Neodiprion lecontei: one gene and its partner. The protein of the gene in region 2 binds, or shares a complex with, the protein of the main gene of each other region. Links are inferred from orthologs where the notes say so. Each region holds a gene or a part of one and is shown on either strand. Other genes may lie near its edges.

The links. The genes of interacting proteins can lie anywhere in the genome.
Region 1: nuclear pore complex protein Nup98-Nup96 (region 2) and PCI domain-containing protein 2 share a complex: the UniProt entries of both Drosophila melanogaster proteins name them as parts of the nuclear pore complex. The link is inferred for Neodiprion lecontei from reciprocal best matches to the Drosophila melanogaster genes Nup98-96 and PCID2.

What each region holds. Positions count from the first base shown.
Region 1 is NC_060264.1:4,179,482-4,184,341, forward strand, and holds PCI domain-containing protein 2, read right to left. Parts: upstream 2,866-4,860; 5' UTR 2,431-2,865; coding exon 2,410-2,430; intron 2,328-2,409; coding exon 2,286-2,327; intron 2,203-2,285; coding exon 2,081-2,202; intron 2,013-2,080; coding exon 1,531-2,012; intron 1,284-1,530; coding exon 763-1,283; 3' UTR 616-762; downstream 1-615. Other genes in the region: epidermal growth factor receptor substrate 15-like 1, read right to left, coding at 1-13; uncharacterized protein LOC107227510, read left to right, coding at 3,217-3,274, 3,402-3,511, 3,957-4,047, 4,279-4,860. UniProt on the Drosophila melanogaster protein: Required for the export of nuclear mRNAs and involved in mRNA trafficking in the cytoplasm.
Region 2 is NC_060263.1:23,590,630-23,595,453, reverse strand, and holds the start of nuclear pore complex protein Nup98-Nup96, read right to left. Parts: upstream 3,101-4,824; 5' UTR 2,906-3,100; intron 2,860-2,905; exon of another isoform or gene 2,709-2,859; intron 2,453-2,708; exon of another isoform or gene 2,355-2,452; intron 2,272-2,354; 5' UTR 2,231-2,271; coding exon 2,200-2,230; intron 1,419-2,199; coding exon 1,194-1,418; intron 973-1,193; coding exon 724-972; intron 647-723; coding exon 434-646; intron 1-433. UniProt on the Drosophila melanogaster protein: Part of the nuclear pore complex (NPC). Required for MAD import as part of the Nup107-160 complex and required for nuclear export of Moe probably via its association with Rae1. Plays a role in nuclear mRNA export.

The DNA of each region.
Region 1 (4,860 bases), on a different chromosome or scaffold from region 2:
ACGCGATTTTCATTGGCCGCGGTCCGAAGGCCCAAGAACCAATAAGGCCCTCAATCAATAGTACGTCATTTTAACGATTTTCACAAATTTAATAACTCTTATTTATACGATCAATTATCACGATAAAACTGACCCTTTATTATGCCCTATTATACAAACGACAGACAAATACTTTCGTCAATTTTCTTACGTTATTACGTAAAGAATTTCTGTATTGCCTACATTGCCATGCAGTACACACGCGTTTGAGTCTAGTGTCAGATTCAAATATACTTTTATGACGCCTTTATGCATCGAAGAAAATTTTTAATCTTCTCTATTTGAATTGTTAAGTAACAAAAAAATATAAAAAACTTGACAGATTATTTTATACCAGTTAAAGTAATCCTCCCCCTTTCGAGACTTGTCTTTTAAATTATCTTCACGATTGCGAAAAAATATGCTTAAGCTCGAAGTCAGTTACATAATTTGAATTTTCGAACGTGTACTCTTCACGAATATATATTGATAGTATTCTAAAATTCGTATTATCATACCATTAGCTTTTATTTCATTGGCAAATGGTCTGACGCATCTTCTGACGTTGGACAAGAGAGAAACAATAGAAATGCGTACTTGTATAACAAGAATATTTAATTCATACCTACAATTACGGGTTTCGTATAAAAGGTATGTATACACAACAGCGGTTTCCTTAACGATATTAATTATAGTATCGTAATCCACTTCAAAATTCACAGAATTTGATTATCGTATTTTTATTCAATTTGAATTCAACGATGACAGTTGCGGGAACGGATTTTGTTTTGAAATGACCAATTTTTTGTGCTGATGAGAAATGTAACCCCTGATTTTACCCTCGTAAATTAAATTGGCTACAAGGCATTCCGTTTCGTCCATATCTACATCGTCAACACCGTGCATTTCAAGAGCAGCCAAAAGACTGGCTACGGGTATTTGATGGGTATTTAAAACGAGATAAACCTTTTTGAACAAATTTCTATACGTAATGAGCTTCAGCTTTTCAACTATTAAGTAAATCCCAGCACTAATAAAGAAGATCTCATGTTTGTTCATCACTTCCTCCAAGCTGCGTAGGTTTCCTCGTTTAACAGCTTCGACCAACTCCCAAAATTCCAATAGATTGTACTTTTCTAACAATGATTTTTTTGGCATATAGCCCAGCAGCATTTTGACGGGAACTAAATACGTCAGAATTAAACGTTTGTTCTTTGCTGATTCTTTGTGGCAACGGACAAAAGCGTAGGTCAGATATTCGTCCGCTGTAACACAATTTAATAACAGGCATTAAATAAATCCACTCTTTAATTTCATTCTAAAAACATCGTTACCAGTTAGATAAAATTAACATCATCTGTATTATACATTTTCAACATTTTTTGATTTAGAAAAGCATAAGTGAAACATTTTTTAATGCTGAGTAATTTAAAAAAAATGAACAATAAGCTACATTTCCAGTTTAAAAGTGACTGTCAGTGGAAAGGCCTGCAACTGACTATTGACGCTTACCAGCTGTGTAATCACTATCGAAAATGGCTTTGCGTCCCATAAAAAATTTATACGTAATTTTTTGCGCGAGCGCGAACTGATCCTTAAGACCGGACGATTCAATGATCCTGATTAGAGGTTTGCATAAATCGAGTTTGTTTATGCGAAAATAGACCTTCCACAGTTGGTTAACCAATGCGAGCATTCCCCATCTTTTCGTGTCATCTTCAGAGTTCCTGTTGTCAGCTGCACAAACTCGAAAACAGCTCATTAGGCACTCAGCACATTTTTCAAGCACCTCACCGGACTTTTGATTTTTACCAAACTTGGATGCTTCAGCTTTAAGGGCTAGACGCCTGAGATCTAAGCACATGGAATTCATTACTGGCAACATCCAATTCTCGTCTTTTTGTAACTGGAGTATCTTTGCCAGTGACTGAATAGCTGCACTCTGATGAGCATACGACGTTAATGCATCGTCTTTATTTAATGACGATATGACCCTGGAAAATGTTTATCAAAAATTTAATTATTTTTGCTTAATAATATCTCTGAAAAATATTCTACTTACTTTATATGGTGTAAAACCAGGTCGTCAAAGGGTGCTGATAAGTGTTCCATTGCTTTTGTCATTGCAGCATCGCTTCCAAGTTGAGGATTTGTCGCATGATTATGACTAAGCGACAGCAGATCCTGGATTAAATAACATCAGGTATGAATCAGGAAAATCTTCGAATGCATAGTGACGATTATGGGAAAATTACAAATGTACTTACAGCCAGAACGTCACCGTCCTGATTCAACCAAGCGCGCCGAAGCTGTAAATAGAGAAATTATAACCTCACATCTTTCAGTTGATATTAACCAGTGATTGGATGGGCGGTTGAACAATTTTTTTACCTGCATTATGTATGAATCCATGATAGATTTTTATATTCGGTAACCAGGTTAATAAAGAACTGCCAATCACATCTGTTGAAAGTTGTTTTCTCGCGAAATTCCAGATATAAATACGTTCTGTCTATACCGTGTTGACAGATTACAATTCACAGTTTATCAAGTTTATTTTTTAGGTTATGGAATGGTTCTGAATATCAATCCATAGTCGTGTTCTTTAGTACCGGTATAGCCTGTTAAAACATGCCGACGGTGAGACGTATTGTCGGTAACATTATTATCGATCCGAATCCCATCTATGATGTTGATATTTCAAGAAGAGATAGTTGGCGATTCGTGTCTCATACCAAATTTCTTTTAAAACATATTCTATTACATCCAAGATTGTTAGTGGATCGTGAAAACGTACGTGAAAAACTAGGGTGGAAAATCGAAAAACTTCCATAACCTTCCGTTCGTGGTTTTCAAATCTACACATGCCGCTACAATATCTGATTGCGTTGTGCGCAAATGGCGTGCGCAGCTTTGCATTTTAGTTCCTAACCAATAGGAATGCCAATAAAATAGGTAATTCGCATGCAGCGTGCACTTGGTGGCGTTGGTTCCCTGCTTCACCGGCATTCCTATTGGCCAAGAACTTGGCACCGTAACAACTCAGCCTATGGTTATATTCCCTTCCCATTCTACGGGCATCGGATTAGGTTAGGTTAGGTGAGGTTTGAATTCTGAACGGTTGCAGCTGGTGTAAATTACATATATATTGTATAAATGAGCAGATCAGTAGGAATGGTTTAATCAACGAGAAGAACAATGTCAGTACAAAATATGACAATGAATCTATCGAACAATGCTCGATGTTACACATCAAGTGAGTATAACGTATTCAATACTAGAATATATTTTTTAAACGTAAAATAATCGAACTAGTTCACCGACGTTAATCTGTTTTGTTTCCTCTCATTGAGCGTCGGAAATAATTATGGAACCTTTTTCAGAATCCAGCGGCAAAAAATATCCAATATTTAGTATCCGTGACCTTGTGCCAGGTCACACTGGACCGGAAACATCTGAAGCTGCTATGGCTCAAATAGCCAAACCTCGATCGGTGGGTTTAAAATTCAGGAAATTTTAAATGTTAACAGAATCCATTTTTATAAAGTCAATTTTGCTGAAATATCCAGAGTAAGAGTTAATAATATACAATTTTTTACTTTCAAAGCTGACTATCAAATAGATGCGTAGGTTATAGATTTTCCATGTTTGTTTTTGTTCTTATTTTCTGTCACGTTCAAGTATGTTTTCAATTTCATGTTATGGTGTAGATAATGACGAGAAATAATTGAATAGATGGTGTTTATAGTTCGAATTCTATATTTGGACTGTCTGCTATATACATTCCAGAGTCCCATCGACCTTTGACTTGCGGCTCACTTACACTTTGCGAATGCTCTAGACACACTCTTATACATGTACACTACAAATGTAATATTAACAGAATTGACTGTCGAGAGTTAATAGTTACAACTGTATATTTTGTTATTAATACACAGGAGAGAAAATGCCAACCAGTGAGAATATCTATGGCTTATTTCAATGATCCATCGGACCGCAGAAATACTGGATCAAGTCGCAAAACTCCTGGTCAGTATTGCTCGATAGAACGTTTCATATCTAGCTGGTACAGATAAATAAATATTCAATGCAGAGAAGTTTGTTCAGTTTTTAAAATTTCTTTTCAACTTGCATACATGGATTCTTGGAGGTCTCATTTTTTTCCTTTTCCTTTTATAAAAATTGTAGCTTACCTTACATTCTTGTACCGTACCAAATGACTAAGACTGGTAATGGTAACAAGTTTCCTTACTTCTGCAGGTCGACCATTGCCGCAACCAATTCGTAATATTCATAAGCTGTTTGAATCACCCAAAAACAATGCCAGAAAGAGACTCGATAGTTTATACGATTCTTCGAAACGAAATGAAAATTTAAATCATTTAAAAAGAAAAAGTCGACTTCTGATTGGTAACAAAATTGTGCCAAGGTTACCTGATAGCATCGCAGCACGTGAAGCAGAGCCCACTCGAAAACCGAGCACAGTTAATCCTAACGGAAATTTGAGATGCAGCAGACTATTACCACCGGGATCCATAACGAGTTCTTTTATTAATAAGCGAAATTCAACGGCAGTAAGATCTTCGATTTATAAACCTGTAAACCATGTCCTTGTTGATCAGAAAAATGTGCAAAGTGGAAGACCTTCGAATGTTCCAGAAGAGTCGTCGTTAATTTCTGAGACACATGATGAAAACTTGTCCATCAAACCAAGTACTACATCATTAATAAATTTTTCTGCTAATCAAATTGAAGATGCAAAAAAGGATTCAATTCACTCAGTTTCGACGCCCAGTTCTCCCAAGCAAAATCAGAAATCTACTAAGTGCTGCAACTGTTCAC
Region 2 (4,824 bases):
GTAATCAAAATCCTAAATAAATCGTGAAATGTATTGAAAGATGTCAATATTCTAGTTTCCGAAAATCTTAGTATTATTACTATTTACTATTTTTTTTTGGGATTTATATTTCTCAAAGAGGAATGTTCATCTTTACTTCAACTCCAATTTTGATGGGAAGTACGAAGCCTGTGTAGCTAATCTTTTACAGAATCTTCAGTATTTTTTCTCAGTATATGCTCAGATACAGCTGGATTCTGTTGCTCAATCTCATATATGTGCGTGTGAAATTTGTTTTTTGGCTGTCTAGCCACAGAAGAATTGAAAAATAAAGTACAAGTCCGTATTTCGAAAAATTTTCGGCCATATATCACCTAAAGTTACTGAAGAGTTACTGAAAAGTTGTTGTCAACATTGCCGTTTGCCAAAGTTTATACGAGGATGAAAAGCTTACCTTGAACTTGTCCCTTACGACCTGCTGTGTAGTCTTCTAAACGCAATTCCTCCAGAGATTTTCCTTCGTATTCCTTCATGCAAGTAATGCAATAGTGTCGAGTTGATATGGTTTGGGTAACGCCATTTTTTATCATTGTATCAGTACCAGTAAGAGGGTTAAATTTCACCACTGTACCACTCATCCCACCTGCAGTATTATTTCCAGCAAATCCTGTACAATGAAATATGATTGACAAGATTTGATGAATACCTAAATGAAATACTTTCATCAGCATCGGGTTAATTTACCAGTTGTAGCTCCAAATAAGCTGGTATTTGCAGCTGTATTGGATGGTGCAAAAAGGGACGGTGCAGTTTGTTGAGTAGGTTGCTGTGTTTGTCCAAATAATCCTGTTCCAGCTGAACTCCCAAAGCCAAACCCTGCTGGTTTAGTTCCTTGACCAAAAGCAGGGGTAGGATTGCTTGTTCCAAATAGACTGGTGTTTGCATTTTGCTGATTACCAAAGAGACCGGTGTTCGTATTTGGGTTACTGAATCCTGAAATTATGCACGATTGGATAATTTTCATTTATAATACGTAATCATATAATATTAAGTAAATTTGAAACTTCTTGTCTATTTTTTTTATCATAGCAGAAATATATGACAGATATCATATTGTAAACAGTTTCGCTAGAACTACGTTTATAACAATACAGAGTTCTTAATCATATAAAGTAAACAGAATTGATAATAGACGATTCATTTTGAGAAATTACCTCCAAATGATGACTGACTGGTGGCTGGTTGTCCAAAAGCAGGTGTTGCTGCCGTATTGCCAAATAGTCCGCCTGTCGTCGCTCCCGCAGGCTTTGCGCCGAACAGAGAATTGTTGGTACTGCCGAACACTGGTGCTGCTGTACCACCAAAACTCGTTGTTGTGATGGGTTTTCCAAATGGAGATTGACTAAATGGGCTACTCTGGGTCCCTGCACCAAACCCTCCTATATTTATTAATTTTTAAGTACAAAGGTACCAGCTCACCATTAACAGACATCAAATTATAGCATAACGTTTTATGCAGGCATCAATGAACAGAATACCATGTTTAGAATAAAATTGAAGCATGAAATTTCGATTGTTAAAACAACTATTTCTTATCAATAAGTGACAATTAATACAGCACAGACGTTCTTTATGTTGGGACGTGCAGGGCTGGTAGTTGGCCACTACTTTCACAGACTGACTCTGGCGGCAAGGGATTCAGTGTAAGTTTGCTCTAATGAAAAAATGGTTACTACGGCTTTCGTGTGGTAATTATTTGAAAAAATTGAAATTTTATTTTTATTATCACCTAACTCAACTGTTCAGGTATAATTAAGTGATAGATATATTGTCCGAGCATTGGATCAAGCATGACATGAGTTCTTACATTGTGGTAAAGAAAATATGATTGTGTTGTTTGACTGCGGTTTCATTAGGACAATTTTCATGTAATAACGTTTCAAAGAACGTTTTGCTTTGAAATTACTGACGTAAATTAAACTCATGCAAATTACATTATTGTAGTTCCAGAGCGTATCACATAATTTCAACTAAATAAAGGGAGTTATTCAAGTAACCACTTTATATTTAAGGAGAGTAACAACAACTGATTAGATCAGACTCAGTTCAAGCGAGAACAGGATAATGGATGGGTTTAAAATAAAATTAATTTAGTATTTCGTTAAAGGCACCCAATGCATTAATAAGCAGATAAGGAACAAAAAATTTATTGGTACTTACCAAATGAAGTATTAGCAGATTGTCCAAACATTTTTAATGACCGTATTTAGCACAAGGACTATCCGCAGCTTTCTAAAATGTTCAAAATTATGGCATCAATCATCAAATAAAGAAATGTATAAGTGTAAAAGGTAAATATAATTCCGAATACTTGCAACTAATATAAATGACCGTGATCATCTGATTGTTACCGCAGTAGTGACACTCATTGATATTTGTGATAAATAAAGATGCCTGGTAATTCTTCAAAATACTTGTAAGAGAAGAGATTATTTATTTCCTGATCTATTAATTCATTACGATACATACGTATTAGAAATGTTGATAAAATATGATGGTTATAAATTATTGCCAACACGTGAAATATCATCAATCAGCACTCGTGAGCCAACGATATATATACCTATATATGTATATAGAGAAAAAATATCAACGAAAAAGAATTTTGCAGTGATTGTATGCCTGTGAGTGATTCGCAAGTAGATAGCTGCATCACACTTATTACATACCTCCGACCCCGCCAACATTTACGAACAATCCTTGTTTACAAAACACATGGAAGCCGTACGTGTTCGTCATTTAATGGAAAAGACGGATAACATATTGAAAATGATGAATCTTATTCAATAGCATACAAACAATTCAGGTTATGTTAGATGCAGAAATGGCGCAATTAGAGATGTGACGAATATTTTCATTTACTTACTGCTCTGACGTATCGCACCTTGCTAATTACTCGCAATAATTACCAAAACTTAACTACTCACTAATAGAACACGGTTTGCAATAAGCACACCGCCACAATACAGAAAATCGCATTAATCACCGATTTTCCAATACTGCAGGCATGTGTTGTTACGGGATCTGCGGTGGCCTGCGTTGCGGGTGTCTGTCTATTAAGGCGGAGTCTCATTGTAACGATATGTTTACGAGACGGCGATACGGAGTCCTATCATTGGCTCCATGCGACGTCATTTTGTGAGTTATATTTATAATTTCCCCACTTCGTTACGTGAGACATCGGCAGAGGTATAAGCAACAGTGCAGTTTCTTTATCTCTCAATTGGCGAAGTAGACAATTTGCAATCGTTCCCCAGCAAAGGCTAAATTGCTCTCGCTTGCTCTAGAGTGGTAGGCTCTTCAGGGTAGAGTTAAAAGACATTCCCGCTCTATATTTGTCATTCATGTAGGTTGGGGCAGAGGGGTTGTTTACGTTCCGAAAGCATTGTTTTTCTTATGACCGCTGTGGATTTTTTTGTCTTGGATTTATTGTACAGCAACAATCCAAATTCAGCACCATCGGTTGCCATTAAAATCAGTCTAATTTAGCACCGAAAATTTTAAACAAGCAATAACTTGAGATGTTTTTCAGCGTATGCACATACATTTACAGGTATAATATTTGGGAGTGGAATGTGTAAAGAGTACATGTTCAATTAAAAGCCAATAGAATGTTATTTTAAACATTTTTTATTCAAAATATGATTACAATTGAAATAAGCACTTCAAAATGAGATATTTGAAATGGTCTCCTTACTTCAACCTTCGCTGTAAAATTATCAATTTTTTTCCCTTACATTACTGCAAACGTTAAACTATGTCTACCATACTCAAAGATATAACTAACTAAATTGTAACGTTATTAAATGAAGAACATTCTCACAGGGATGAATAAAGAGCGATGTAATAATGTATACATATTGTCAATGTGCTCTAAAGGCTTGTTAGATATATCCTTTGACGATCCAATTTTTTTTTTTAATCTTTGTCAAAAACTAGGTGGCAATAAGTGCATCCTCATATTTCGTTATTGTTGTGCTTATTTTAAAGATACACATGTTAGTGTCAATACCCATTCGAGTAATGTCATAACACTTCAACGAAAACTCTGACAGATAAATAGTAAATCGTGAAGTTTGCGGGACAACAATCAGATTTGGGATATTTTATTTCGTTTGGTCAAAGTACCGTTGCCTGATATGTAATTATTCAGGCTATACAGTTCATTAAGAACAATTGAAGAAACCGTTATACCATGTTACTATCGACTCTTTCTTCCTTGTATTTCTTTACAAACTAAAGTATCTTGTCAATAAGGAATATTCAATGAGGAGATACAGTAAGCATGGCATCTTTACCAAAAAAACGCATTCAATTCTGCTAATAATGAAGTAAAATGTAATTAATTAGGAAACATGATCATGAGATATGTACTGCATTGTTTGAAGTTAGTAATCTAACTTCTAGCTGCTTGACAAAAATAATGCAAATCAAAAATGTAACTTTCAAAAAATGACCATGAATTTATGTTTGCATTAAACTTGTGAACTTGGAGTCTTCGCGTCATGAAATAACACACTTATGACACAAAAGCGTAAGAGAACATGATTAACAGCCCAGAATGATAAAAAAATTCGATATCAATACCATACATATCTAGAGAACGTTTGTTGTTACAAAAAACCTAATTAATTTCTGCAAATTTTTTATACTTGGTTGCTATTATTATTTAGATAGAAGTGTATTTATAAGTCGATTCAATAATACATCAGATAACTGAACCTGTGAAATATTTCATGTATTGAGGTGTGAATGGCAAAACGCGAAGAATAAATACTAACAGTG